Sus scrofa: one gene and its partners. The protein of the gene in region 1 interacts with the protein of each later gene in a pairwise test. Links are inferred from orthologs where the notes say so. Each region holds a gene or a part of one and is shown in the gene's direction. Other genes may lie near its edges.

The links.
Region 2: the proteins of ZMIZ2 (region 1) and SALL2 interact in binary tests that used the Homo sapiens proteins (3 or more experiments, as listed by UniProt). The two-hybrid records come from large-scale screens. The link is inferred for Sus scrofa from reciprocal best matches to the Homo sapiens genes ZMIZ2 and SALL2.
Region 3: the proteins of ZMIZ2 (region 1) and PIN1 interact in binary tests that used the Homo sapiens proteins (3 or more experiments, as listed by UniProt). The two-hybrid records come from large-scale screens. The link is inferred for Sus scrofa from reciprocal best matches to the Homo sapiens genes ZMIZ2 and PIN1.

What each region holds. Positions count from the first base shown.
Region 1 is NC_010460.4:50,585,403-50,588,965, reverse strand, and holds part of ZMIZ2 (zinc finger MIZ domain-containing protein 2), read left to right. Parts: intron 1-381; coding exon 382-526; intron 527-602; coding exon 603-813; intron 814-1,430; coding exon 1,431-1,536; intron 1,537-1,710; coding exon 1,711-1,868; intron 1,869-2,773; coding exon 2,774-2,841; intron 2,842-3,078; coding exon 3,079-3,147; intron 3,148-3,416; coding exon 3,417-3,563. UniProt on the Homo sapiens protein: Increases ligand-dependent transcriptional activity of AR and other nuclear hormone receptors.
Region 2 is NC_010449.5:77,637,672-77,641,797, forward strand, and holds the start of SALL2 (sal-like protein 2), read left to right. Parts: upstream 1-1,299; 5' UTR 1,300-1,583; coding exon 1,584-1,656; intron 1,657-4,126. UniProt on the Homo sapiens protein: Probable transcription factor that plays a role in eye development before, during, and after optic fissure closure.
Region 3 is NC_010444.4:68,714,372-68,718,705, forward strand, and holds the start of PIN1 (peptidyl-prolyl cis-trans isomerase NIMA-interacting 1), read left to right. Parts: upstream 1-1,526; 5' UTR 1,527-1,581; coding exon 1,582-1,639; intron 1,640-4,163; coding exon 4,164-4,334. UniProt on the Homo sapiens protein: Peptidyl-prolyl cis/trans isomerase (PPIase) that binds to and isomerizes specific phosphorylated Ser/Thr-Pro (pSer/Thr-Pro) motifs.

The sequences.
Region 1 (3,563 bases):
CTACGGGCCCCCTGAAGCCCCCTCCTGGTTAAGGACAACTGCTTTCTGAGAGACCACTCAGCAGCAGTTGGGGTCCTAACCCTAGTTGAGCACTAGGGGGATGGCAGGTGGTCCACACACGCCTCTGAAGGCACCAGAAGCCATGGGGAGGGATCACTGACTGGGCAGCTGAGACAGGACGGGGTGGAGGGACGCCAAGATTCTGCTCCTTTTGGAGGTGAAGGCCAAGCCCAGGTTCCCGGGAGAGATGCCACCCAGGCCCATGGAAGCGGGGTGCGTGCTCCCCTCGCCACGGTCCCTGCAATGGGGATGGGGCAGCCTGTCCGGCCCGGTGGCATCTGGCGCAGACGGCCCGTTCACACCAGCGTGGCCCGCTTCCAGGCAGTGGCCCCTGTGACGAGCTGCGGCTGACCTTCCCCGTGCGGGATGGGGTGGTCCTGGAGCCCTTCCGCCTGCAGCACAACCTGGCCGTGAGCAACCACGCCTTCCAGCTCCGCGACTCCGTCTATAAGACCCTGATGCTGAGGTGAGCGGGCGCCCGCCCCCAGCTCGCAGCCCCTCGTGCCGCCCTCTCGCTCTCAGCATCCGTCCTCCCCCCGCAGGCCTGACCTGGAGCTGCAGTTCAAGTGCTACCACCACGAGGACCGACAGATGAACACCAACTGGCCGGCCTCCGTGCAGGTCAGCGTCAACGCCACCCCGCTCACCATCGAGCGCGGCGACAACAAGACCTCCCACAAGCCCCTCTACCTGAAGCACGTGTGCCAGCCCGGCCGCAACACCATCCAGATCACCGTCACGGCCTGCTGCTGCGTGAGTGCCTTCGCAGGCCGGGGTGGGGGCTCCACAGCTCTCCTTCCCACCCCGGCCCTTGAAGGAAGGGGCCCCGGTTATGAACGGCCTCGCTGCTCTTTGGTTCGGTTCCCCAACTAGATTCGGCGCTCATGTAAATTACATAAGAGAAACGAGCTGAGCCTGTGTCTTCCCTGGAGGAAGCTCGTGGAGTCTCGAGTCCCCAGCTGACCCTGAATCCTTGCTAAGGAGTCACCTGGGTTCCAGCAGGCTCTGAGATCCAGGACTAGAAGAGGCAGGATGTGCTTAGATGGGCAGCACAGAGCAGCCTGGGTGGGAGGGAGGGGTGCTGTAGGCAGGGCAGCCCCCATGCAATGCTGCGGGCTTAGGATGGCTTCACGTGGAGCCAGCGCAGATCACAGTGGGGAGCTGTAGGCAGGGCGCATTCAGGGGCCTCTTGAGTTGATGGAGAGGCTGTGGTGCAGACACGTGGTGGGCTTTACATGTGGGCATGGACGTGGTCCCCTGGGCTCCTGGGGGAGGGGCAGCAGGTGGCCTGCCTGAGTTAGGGAGGAGGGACTGGGCCTGCGCTGCTCCCCCCGGGCCACGTCCCGCTGACTGGGTTCCCCCCATTGCAGTCCCACCTCTTCGTGCTGCAGCTGGTGCACCGGCCGTCTGTCCGCTCCGTGCTGCAGGGTCTCCTCAAGAAGCGCCTCCTGCCGGCCGAGCACTGCATCACCAAGAGTGAGTGGCTCTTGCCCTCCTTGCCCCCCCGCCCCAGCAGCCACCCCGCACCCGAGCAGCGGCCACTGCTGCGTGCATCCCGTCCCCGTGTCCCTCAGGGCTGTCTCCGCTCGGGCAGGGGCTCCGCCCAGCCCCTGGCTTTGCTCAGGTCCCCCTTTGCCCTGTCCATGGCAGTAAAGCGGAACTTCAGCAGCGGCACCATCCCCGGCACCCCTGGGCCCAACGGAGAGGATGGGGTGGAGCAGACGGCCATCAAGGTGTCCCTCAAGTGCCCCATCACCTTCCGCAGGATCCAGCTCCCTGCCCGAGGTCACGACTGTCGCCACATACAGGTGTGTGGTCACTGCAGAGCTTTGCCAAAACCTCTGCCGCATTTAACCGATTTCAGCGGACATGGCCTCTGAGCACCTCAGCTGAGGAGGCCAGGCCAGCCAGTAGGCAGGTGACAGTGGCCTGGCTCCCCTGCTCTCTCCCCTCAGACTGGGATTTTGTTTCTTCTCATATTACTCTACATGTAACATTCATTTCCCCACACGGACCTGACTCGGATTTCTCAGGCGTCAGGGATGCAGGGCGCCCCCAGGAGCAGCGCCTTAGTTTCTGTCTCTGTAGAAACACACTCTGCGTGCACACAGGTCCCTGCACACGCACTCCCCACCCCACCTGCTTCGGGTTACGTGAGCAGTACATTCTTTTTTTTTTTTTTTTTTTTTTAATTTATTTTATTTATTTATTTATTTATTTATTTATTTTTTGTCTTTTTTTTTTGGTCTTTTTGCTATTTCTTGGGCCGCTCCCGCAGCATATGGAGGTTCCCAGGCTAGGGGTTGAATTGGAGCTGTAGCCACCGGCCTACGCCAGAGCCACAGCAACGTGGGATCCGAGCCGCGTCTGCAACCTACACCACAGCTCACGGCAACGCCGGATCGCTAACCCACTGAGCAAGGGCAGGGACCGAACCCGCAACCTCATGGTTCCTAGTCGGATTCGTTAACCACTGCGCCACGACGGGAACTCCAGCAGTATATTCTTACTGCACCTTTCCAACCGAGCCTTGGAGGTCAGCTGTCAGCACGGCTGCCTGACTCTTGCTTTGGCTGCGTGGCGGTCCAGGCCCCGTGAGGGCTGCAAAGGCTGTCTGCAGTCTCGGGAAAGCCTGGCCCCCCTGCCCTCTCAATCATGCGAGCGCCCAGAGCCCACCTGCCCCAGGACGAAACATCTCTCCCCTTCTCTGCAGTGCTTCGACCTAGAGTCCTATCTGCAGCTCAACTGTGAGCGAGGGACCTGGAGGTGCCCCGTGTGCAAGTGAGTCTGTCAGAGGTGGTCCCCCTGGCTCTGGGGGTGGCACAGGCGTTTCCTTCCAACAGCACCAAGAAATGCCCAGGCCAGGTGTGGGAGTCCCAGCATGGGGGGGGAAGAAGGGGCAGCTCGAGGCAGTGACCTCGCACAGGGTCATGGCACACTGGGAGCTGGACAGGGACAGCTGTGCCCAGGATGAGGTTGGGCCAGGCCTCTGAGCCGTGTCCCCTTTGTCTTCCACAGCAAGACGGCGTTGCTGGAGGGCCTGGAGGTGGACCAGTACATGCTGGGCATCCTCATTTACATCCAGAAGTAAGTCTTCTTTCCCTCCCCCCGCCACCGTCCCGTGGTCAACAGAGCGCCACCCTGGCCCGGGGAGGCCCCCTTGCTGATCCACGTGGAGCAGGCTCGACTCCAGGCCGTGGATGGGATCCTCATCCCGCCTAGGCCCGCCCCCCTCAGGGCACGTGGAGCGTGCTGGGTGCCCCCGAGCATTTGAGGGGAAGGTCTGCCTAGACACGACCCAGCGCCAGGAGGGGCAGCCGGGCAGGGGGTGACTAGCCCTGCCTGTCCCTGCCCAGCTCTGACCACGAGGAGATCACCATCGACCCGACGTGCAGCTGGAAGCCGGTGCCTGTGAAGCCTGACGTGCACGTCAAGGAGGAGCCAGACGGGCCGGTGCTGAAGCGCTGCCGCACCGTGAGCCCTGCCCACGTGCTCATGCCCAG
Region 2 (4,126 bases), on another chromosome or scaffold:
ATGCAGCTATCAGAGATTTATGTCACTAAACTCCAAAGGGAAAAATAATTTCCACTTTCCTAACTGACAGTGTTTCAGATGCTCTCTCATCTTAGCCAGAAAAGCAAAAGGTAAATAAGGTTAAAAGAGAGGGCATGGCATTATAGCTAGAAGATAGAGCATATCTAGATAGTCTATGCCCAGTAGTATGGTATTCCCCAAATTTAGGTAGGAACAACAAGGTCAGAAGTTAAAGAACAATAAACTAATTACCCTTAAGTGTGCAAGCTGAGCAGGAGAGACATCGTTGGTTGCCAAATCATGTATTTTAGACATAGAGGAATCCTTAAAGGTCAAACTTCATAGCCACAAGGAAATTCTTTCCACAGAATCCTTGACAATTGTTTTCAGCCTCTGTGAGAACATATTACAAAGAGCTCACAAATTCACTGGAGAGTCCATTGCCCTTTATAAAGTTCCTTTGTATTGAGCTGAAAGTGCCTCCTTGTAGCTTCTACTCTGGAGTACCACGGAACTCATTTACACCATCTTCTCCAAGGTGGTATCCCTTCAACCCTGGAAGCTGGACAGGAGTAGGAGAGACAGAAGTGCCACTGACCCTGTAGCTATTTTAAATTAGATTCCTTAAATGAGATCAATCACTTCTCTTTTTCCATGCTAGGAGTCTGGTAGCATATTGTACCTTTAATGAGGTAGTAGAAAAAAAAAAAATGCTAGACTGGCTTCAAGGCTTCTCCCTGTTACATCATAGCTGTGCAACCTCCGATAGGTTACTTAACCTCACTGAGCCTTTTGGTTCATCTATAAAGAGGATCATCTATAAATAGAAGTAGTAAAACCTGCTGTGCTAATCTCAGAGTTGTAATACTCACAATATGTCATGTACATGAAAATATCCTGTAAATTATAAAGGGATCTACATACATTAAGTAGTTATTATAATAACTGTTTTTACTTGATCTTTTTATCAGCCTTCCATATCCTCATTTTTGACTGGCAGGTAGCTGATTTGTCAACCTTATAATCTGGGTATACCATAAAGTTCTCATTTCAGTTTATACCCCAGAAGCAGTCATATCATCAAACAAGGTGGCATGGAATCATGAAATAACCAAAAAGCACGGTGGAGTGAAGATCTTAGAAGAGGGTTAGAAAAACAACCGAGGGACATTTTCTGAACAGACAGCATGGTGAGAGGCCCGAGCCCTGGCAGGGAGGAGAGGGTTAAATCCCTTCCTCTGCAGTACAAAAGAAAAGAGTGTGCGGAAAGATTAGGATTTTTGCTTTTACAATGGGAGCTGCAGAAGCGTAGGGAAGAAGCTGAAGAAAAAAAAGGGGGCGTCTCCCCTTTAAAGACTTGCAGAGATTGAGAGAGAAAGAGAGAGAGTCAGGGACAGAGAATCAGAGAGAGCGCACGCGTCTGTCTGTCCGTCCCAGGAAACGAGAACATCTCTGCTTCACAGTGATTGGCACTGGGGGAGGCATCAGTTGGCTTTAGACCCAAGGGGGAGACCAGACCAGGTCACCCCGGTTAAGACTAAGTGAGCGTTGCCCCTCCCTATCCCACCTCTCTCTACCCGGGAATGTCTCGGCGAAAGCAGCGGAAACCCCAACAGTTAATCTCGGACTGCGAAGGTCCCAGCGCGTCTGAGAACGGTGGGTGCCTGGGGAGGGTGGGGGAGCCCTGAGTCCAAGCCTGTGTGGGTCAGGCCAGGGCAAGGGAGGGCACCCGGGCCATGGGCGAAACCAGGGGGAGGACTTGGTCACTGGGTGGGAGTCGGGGGTGAAGGAGTTGAGATGCAGGGAGTGAGGAGATGACCTGTGCCCGGGAGAAGACCTGCTTGGCTTTTCTCGGGAATTGATTCTGTTTGTGTTTTCTGTGTTGTTTTTCTCGGCTGAAATGGAGTTTTCAAACTGGCTCTGTCTCCCCACCCAAGAGTTTTCTCCCCAGGTCCCCCTTTGCTCACTGGTCTTTGTGCCGTTGCTAAGTAACCTCCTCAGACCTGAAGACCGTCTCTTAGGGGTGGGATTTCCCCCCTCGCCTTTCTTTCTGGGGAGTTGGGTTGCAAGAGAATGAATTGGATAAACGTGAAGGTTCCCCTGAGGGAGAAGAGAAAAAAGTTTCTCATTGTTGGGCTGAGCAGACAGCAGAGCAGAACTCCCAAAGGGAGTGAGCTAAAGCCGGTCAGATGTAGCTTGGTTTGGGATGTGTATCTGTGTCACCTGGCGTAGAGGCTGGAGGAAAGGTCTGGGTGAGGGGCATGGGTTGGTTTGTGCTTCAGGGGAGGCCAAGCTAAAAAAAAAAAAAAATGTATGAGTTAACATACCTGTTAATACAAGCATACCATTTTATGAGGGTATTAGGATATCATCAGTTTCCTTAAGTAACAGATTTTCTTTGTGAGTTTTCATGTATTCTTAAAATATTCCAGTGAGTAAGAGGCAGCCTACAGGGCAACTAGGGTACACAGAAGTGACATTGCCCAGCCTCAGAAACAGAGGCATTGTCGAGACAGAAAACTAGGTTTCATGATATTCAGGGTAGGTGGTGCTGACTCCACATAAATTAGGGTTTTCCAAACTTGCTTGATTATGGGTAGATCTGGGCTAGGGTCGGGGAATCTATATCTTTGCAAATGTCCAGATAATTCTTAAGATTGAGCAAGTTTGGGACAATCTGGCTACATATGTTCACTTTATGAAACTCTGAAAGTCCTGGTTCAGGGATTAACTAATTTGCTTAGCAAATAATTGATTCACCCAACAATATAGTGTAGGATTAAGTACAAGGGTTCTGAAGCCAGACGTTTAGGATTCAAATCCTTGCTCTACCATTTGGTTAGCTCTGCAATCTTGGTTGGTTGACTTTGCCTTTCCATGCCTCAGTTTCCTCATCTGTGAAATAGGAATGATTCACGCTAGCTACCTCATGAGGTTATTGTGAAATGAGTTAGTACATATTAATACACTTGGAAAAATATGGTACAGTCCCTATCATAAATAAGTACTTAATATGTGAGTATTATTAGCATTATATGTGAGTACAGTGGCACTTCCTGCAAGTGCTGAAATATGATCAAGGCTCAGGAGCCTCTTGGTGAACTTAAGCATTTCTTTATGAAATGTGTGCAGTGAAAAGCTTTAGGATAATGTATTTGTAGTGACTAAAACTAGATCACTGATTAAATTTACCTTTCCACCTGTTGTTTAAAAAAAAAAAAAAAGATACGATCAAATCAGGGCACCACGTGCTATGGAACAGCCTTAGCAGACATACTGGGTTTTGGGTAGAGAGCATCCCCCTTGAGTCAGTGCTTTACTAGGATCCCACTGTGCCAATATTAAGAGGTTCAGGCTGGTGGCATCCTACCCTCCTGGGACATATTAGCCCTTCTTAATGCTGCTACAGGCCGGATGTTTCCTCCTGCTGCTCTACAGGAGACTTCCCCCAGAGCCTCAGAGTTGCCTTACAGCTCTGCTCCCCTGCTGGTTGGATTGTGGAACAATGCTGAGTCCCCTCCACTCCAGAGGCATCCTCTCCTTTCTTCCCCTCTCCTCTCTTCTCCCCACATCCTCAGTTTACCCATTCCCCATACCACTGCTGAGCAAGAATCTGGAAGGAAGTCACAAGAAGTCTTTCACAGCTGCCCTGGGTGGATTCTCAAGCCCCACTTGGGACTGTGAACACTTGGGGGCTTAGGGGTACTGCTACAAAGCTGTCTCCATAGAAACAGTACAGGCTTGAACCCAGTGACAGCAACAAATTTCAGTTAAGATTTTTTTCCTCTGAGCCATAAAAGTTAGAAACATAAATATAAGGAGCAAGAAAGCAGTAGTAACCTTAAGAAAGCCCAAGGGGTCTCGATTCCAAATTCTCCGGAGACTGAAAGATCCTGAGCTACTTGCATGACCTAGAATGTTCACTGGGTCTCACTTGTGAAAAATGAGGTGGAATTTTAGATCAAATCTAAAATTCCTTCCTGCTCTTGTAAGATATATAGATAGGGTTTCTATTCACTTATGTGATCTTCAGCTGCCTGAGTTTTCCCCAGGGACATTTTCTTGTTCTGCATGCCCCTAAATTAGGTAGGGAGAGCTAATATTGGAGGCTCTCATGTGTGTCCTT
Region 3 (4,334 bases), on another chromosome or scaffold:
GTGCTTGTAAAAAAGAATCAAAATGTTACATTAGAGCTTAAGTTAGTCATTAATATATTTGAATGAATCCAGAAATTTTCTGTGATATAAAACTGCAGTTTTTACACAACTAAGTATGCATACTCTAATAACATTCATACCGTTCAGCAGCTTGCTTTTTAAGGCCTTTTTAAAGCTTTGATATCTTTCTGTAAGTGATGTCATTCTTTCAAATTAACCTTTATTTGCTGAATTTTTTTTTTTTTGGTTTTGTTATGCTTTCATACATTCTATAATTGCTACACTGTACAATGACTTTTTTTTCCACTGAGCAGCATATATCCTTGCTAAGACCAGATACTGCTTTTGAGTGCTTTATATAGATTATTAACTCATTTAATCTTTATATCAAAGGTATTTACGATATGTATTATCTCTTAAACTCATTTCACAGATGGAGAAGCTGAAGTGCAGAGGTTAAGTAATTTGTTCAAGGTAATAGCAAATGGTAGAGCTAGGCTTTGAACCCAAAGCAATCTGACTCCTGAATGCTCTTAACCTACAGCATCCTACCTCTGTAATTTGTCATAGACGTGTTCCTCTGCGTTTCATGTCACTGAGCCTCATTCTTTTCAGCGGTTACGTAAGTGCCTGTGCTATAGATGAACTGTAAGTGAACTCTTCCCTGTTGGTGTTTTGACTCCCATGTTTGTCTCCAGCCCTAGGTCTCCAACCACCTCCTTGGTGTGTCCCACATGTGCCAGACTTAAGTTTAAACTGACTCAAAACTGAGTTCCTCATCTTCCCACCTGCACCTTCCCCCTTGTCCCCATCTGAATGGCAATGCCAACACCTACCAGTCACCCAGGATGGAGACAGGAGCCAGACTGTGAGGGAATAAGTGAAGTAAAGTAGATTCTAAAGGAAGTGGAAGGTGTCTAGGTAAGTAGCATAGGGAAAGAGACTTACACAAAACTAAAAGGAGGTGGGCTAGCTTTGGGCATGTGGAAGGAACAGGTGGGAAGAGGGAGGGTGGAGAAGCCAAATTTAGGCTTCTGGGTTCTTAGCTGTTCATCACCAAGGTAACTGGGTTGCTATGGTAACAGCAAAGGCAGCGTGCCTTTTCCAAGAACCTCCTCTGCGGCGGTTACCCTCACACCAGCCAGGCACTTCCACGTGGGGGCGCCGGCTGGGGGTAGGCTTAAGAAGGCGGGAATTGCTGCGGCATTGGCCAATCGAATGGGCTCTGCAGCGAAGGACGCAAAGGCGGGGTCGAAACTTCTTTGAAGTTCGCCAAAGGGCGTTATTAGGCGGGCTCAGGTCCTTTTCCCACCACTTAGGGGCCGAGGAAAGGGGGAGGGCGGGGCTTGGGTGAGGCCCTCAAGAAGGCCCAGCCCTGGTGAAATATGTGAAGCTCCGCCTATTCCTTCTTCTGCTCAATAGGAAGCCAGAGAGTCAATCCGGACAGTTAGGGTTCCCAATGAGTGTCGTCGCCATGCCCCGGGGCGTGACGGGGCCAGCCAATCGGCGGCGGTGGTGGGCGGGCACGGGCGGCAGAGGCGGTGCGGCGGAGGTGGAGCGGGCTCTGCCGCAGGAGGGAAGATGGCGGACGAAGAGAAACTGCCACCCGGCTGGGAGAAGCGCATGAGCCGCAGCTCAGGTGCAGCGGGGGTCGGGGCTGGGGCGGGGCCGTGTGGGCCCATGGAAGCAGGGCTCTAGCTTGTCCCTCGGACGCGGGCGGCCGCTCGATTCCCGTGGGGTCTTGGCTCCTTCGCGTTGTCCCTGGGTAACGGCCCCGGCCCTCCCCGGGGCTGCGAGCCTGAGGAGCTGGGAACCCGAGGAAATTGAGGCAAGGGACTGGGTCGGAGAGGCCCGGCGCGCTGCCTGGGTGGTAGGGGGACAGTGTACCCGCGGCGCTCCCCCAGGCAATGGCCTTGGTCCTGCCGATCTTGCTGACATCTTTCAGCCTAATGCACCTGACATCCGGCGGGGGTGGGGGGGGATGTCTTTGCACCCTGCTGGGCCCAAGGGGCACCCCTGGGGAAGGACACCCCAACACCATGCTCAGGGCGTGGCCCCAGGGTGTTGCTTGGCTTCGAATCCTAAACCTCCTGCTAACGTGCCTGCCATCCACACCGAATTCTGAGTTTGCTATAATGTGAGAATTCAGGTTATCTGCCTGAGAATAGTCTCTGTGCTCGGAGCCGATTAGGGCTTTTCCCCCATAATAATGTTAATAATAGGTCTTATCTCAGTGCCAAGTATTGTGCTAAGGGTGTTAAGTGTGTACTCTGGCCACAACTCTGAGAGGTAGGGTAGTTAATAACACCCAGTTTGCCGGTGAGGAAACCGAGGCCAGAAAACTTAAGAAACTCGCCCATAGTCGTTCATTTCAGGGGCTGGGGGCTGGGTTAGATACCAGTCTAACTCCAGAGCCCCCTGCCCTTGTTACTGTAAACCTCTGAGATGCAGGCCCACCATTTCACTCCCCTGCCTCCATAGCTCATAATCATCATGGTCACAGTAATAATTCCAATTTATTGAACGCCAGGAGCTCTGTCGAGCACTTTGCACTCATCATGATGGACTCTCCACATTAACCCCATGAAGTGTTATATCTTTATTCTCTCACCTTGCCCTCACTTTTCAGATGAGTACACTCAGGTTCAGGGAGATGGAACCCATTGCCAAGGTTTTAGAGGCATTGTTTGGCTCAGCTCTGGCCCACCCTGCTTGCAGCCCTGTGGCTGGGACCTGCAGCAAAAAAGCTGATGCTCTTCTCAGTTCTGGGCCTCCACTCCTGCCATTTCTGCTCAGCTCAACCCTGACAGTCTTCCTCCTGGGTGACATCCAGCCCTTCACGGTCTTGGGCAGAAGTCCTCCATATAACCCAGACAAACTCGGCCCCTGGAATGACAGCCTATCTCTACTGGGTCCTACTTTAAGTTTCTTTCTTTTTTTTCCTTAGATAAGAAGTAGATTTATTGATACAGTGTGGGCCGTCTCAGAAGGTGAGAGCAGCCTGGAAGATGCACATTCTTTAGACAGAATATTATCTCAAAAGGCCAGAGAGTGGCCTCAGGTTTCTTGTTTGCAGCCCTCACTCCATGCTCCTTAGTCTCTGGGTAACATCTGGCCCCCAGTAATGCTGGCCCCTAGTTCTGCTGCACAGTGCACTCCAGAGGGGAAAAGAGCAGAGTTTTGGCATCTGGCACACCTGAGTACAGATCCTGCTATCTCCCCCACCACACCCCACCCCCGGCTTTTATGCCTGGAGCAGAGTAAATACCCAGGGAAGGTTGCTTAGTTTTGTGGTCTATAACATGGAGATATTAGTAGCTGCCACAGTCTTTTTTTTTTTTTTTTTTTTTTGTCTTTTTAGGGCCATACCCATGGCATATGGAAGTTCCCTGGCTTGGGGTCAAATTGGAGCTACAGCTGCTAGCCTATGCCACAGCCACAGCAATGCTATATCTGACCCACATTTGTGACCTACACCACAGCTCACGGCACCGCTGGATCCTTAACCCACTGAGCGAGGCCAGGGATCAAGTTCTCATGGATGCTAGTCTGCTTCATTAGCGCTGAGCTATGACGGGAACTCCTCCTACACTCTTAATTAAGTGTGCCAGGTGCTGTCCTAAGTACTTTGCAGATGTGAATTCATACAGTCACTCCTTCAGGCAGGTACTGTCCTTATTTTCATTTTATAGGCGAGAAAACCACGGCCCCGGGAAGGTAGATCACATGTGAGGGTGTGGTGGAGCCACAGATTTGGACCGGCCTTGCTGAATGCATGCTTGGAACCATTCTCTGTCCCTGAGGCTTCCTCTCTTCCTAACCTTCAGTTATTTTCCCCCTTGAACTTTTTTTTTTTTTTTTTTTTTTTTTGGTGGTGAAAGAAAGTGTAGCATTTATTGTAAGGCAGTACAAGTAGTCTGAGACTAGCTAGTGCTCAAAAATCCTGCACTCCCCCCTTGACCTTATTAATGACTGAAGTTGTAAGGTGGTCTCATTTGCTTCTTTGGTGTCTGTGTCCCCAGCTAGAATGCTAGCTCCCTAAGGCCTGGTGGCACTGGGGACTTGCTGAATGAAAGGTAGTTCGTCAGCCAGCCCCTGATCATGGCTTCCCAGTGGTGTCCTGTGAGCAGGTCCCAGCTGAATTCCACTTCCACCTCTTCCAGGCCGGGTGTACTACTTCAATCACATCACTAATGCCAGCCAGTGGGAGCGGCCAAGTGGCAACAGCAGTGGCGGCAGCAAAAATGGACAAGGAGAGCCCACCAGGGTCCGCTGTTCGCATCTGCTGGTCAAGCACAGCCAGTCCCGGCGGCCCTCATCCTGGCGGCAGGAGA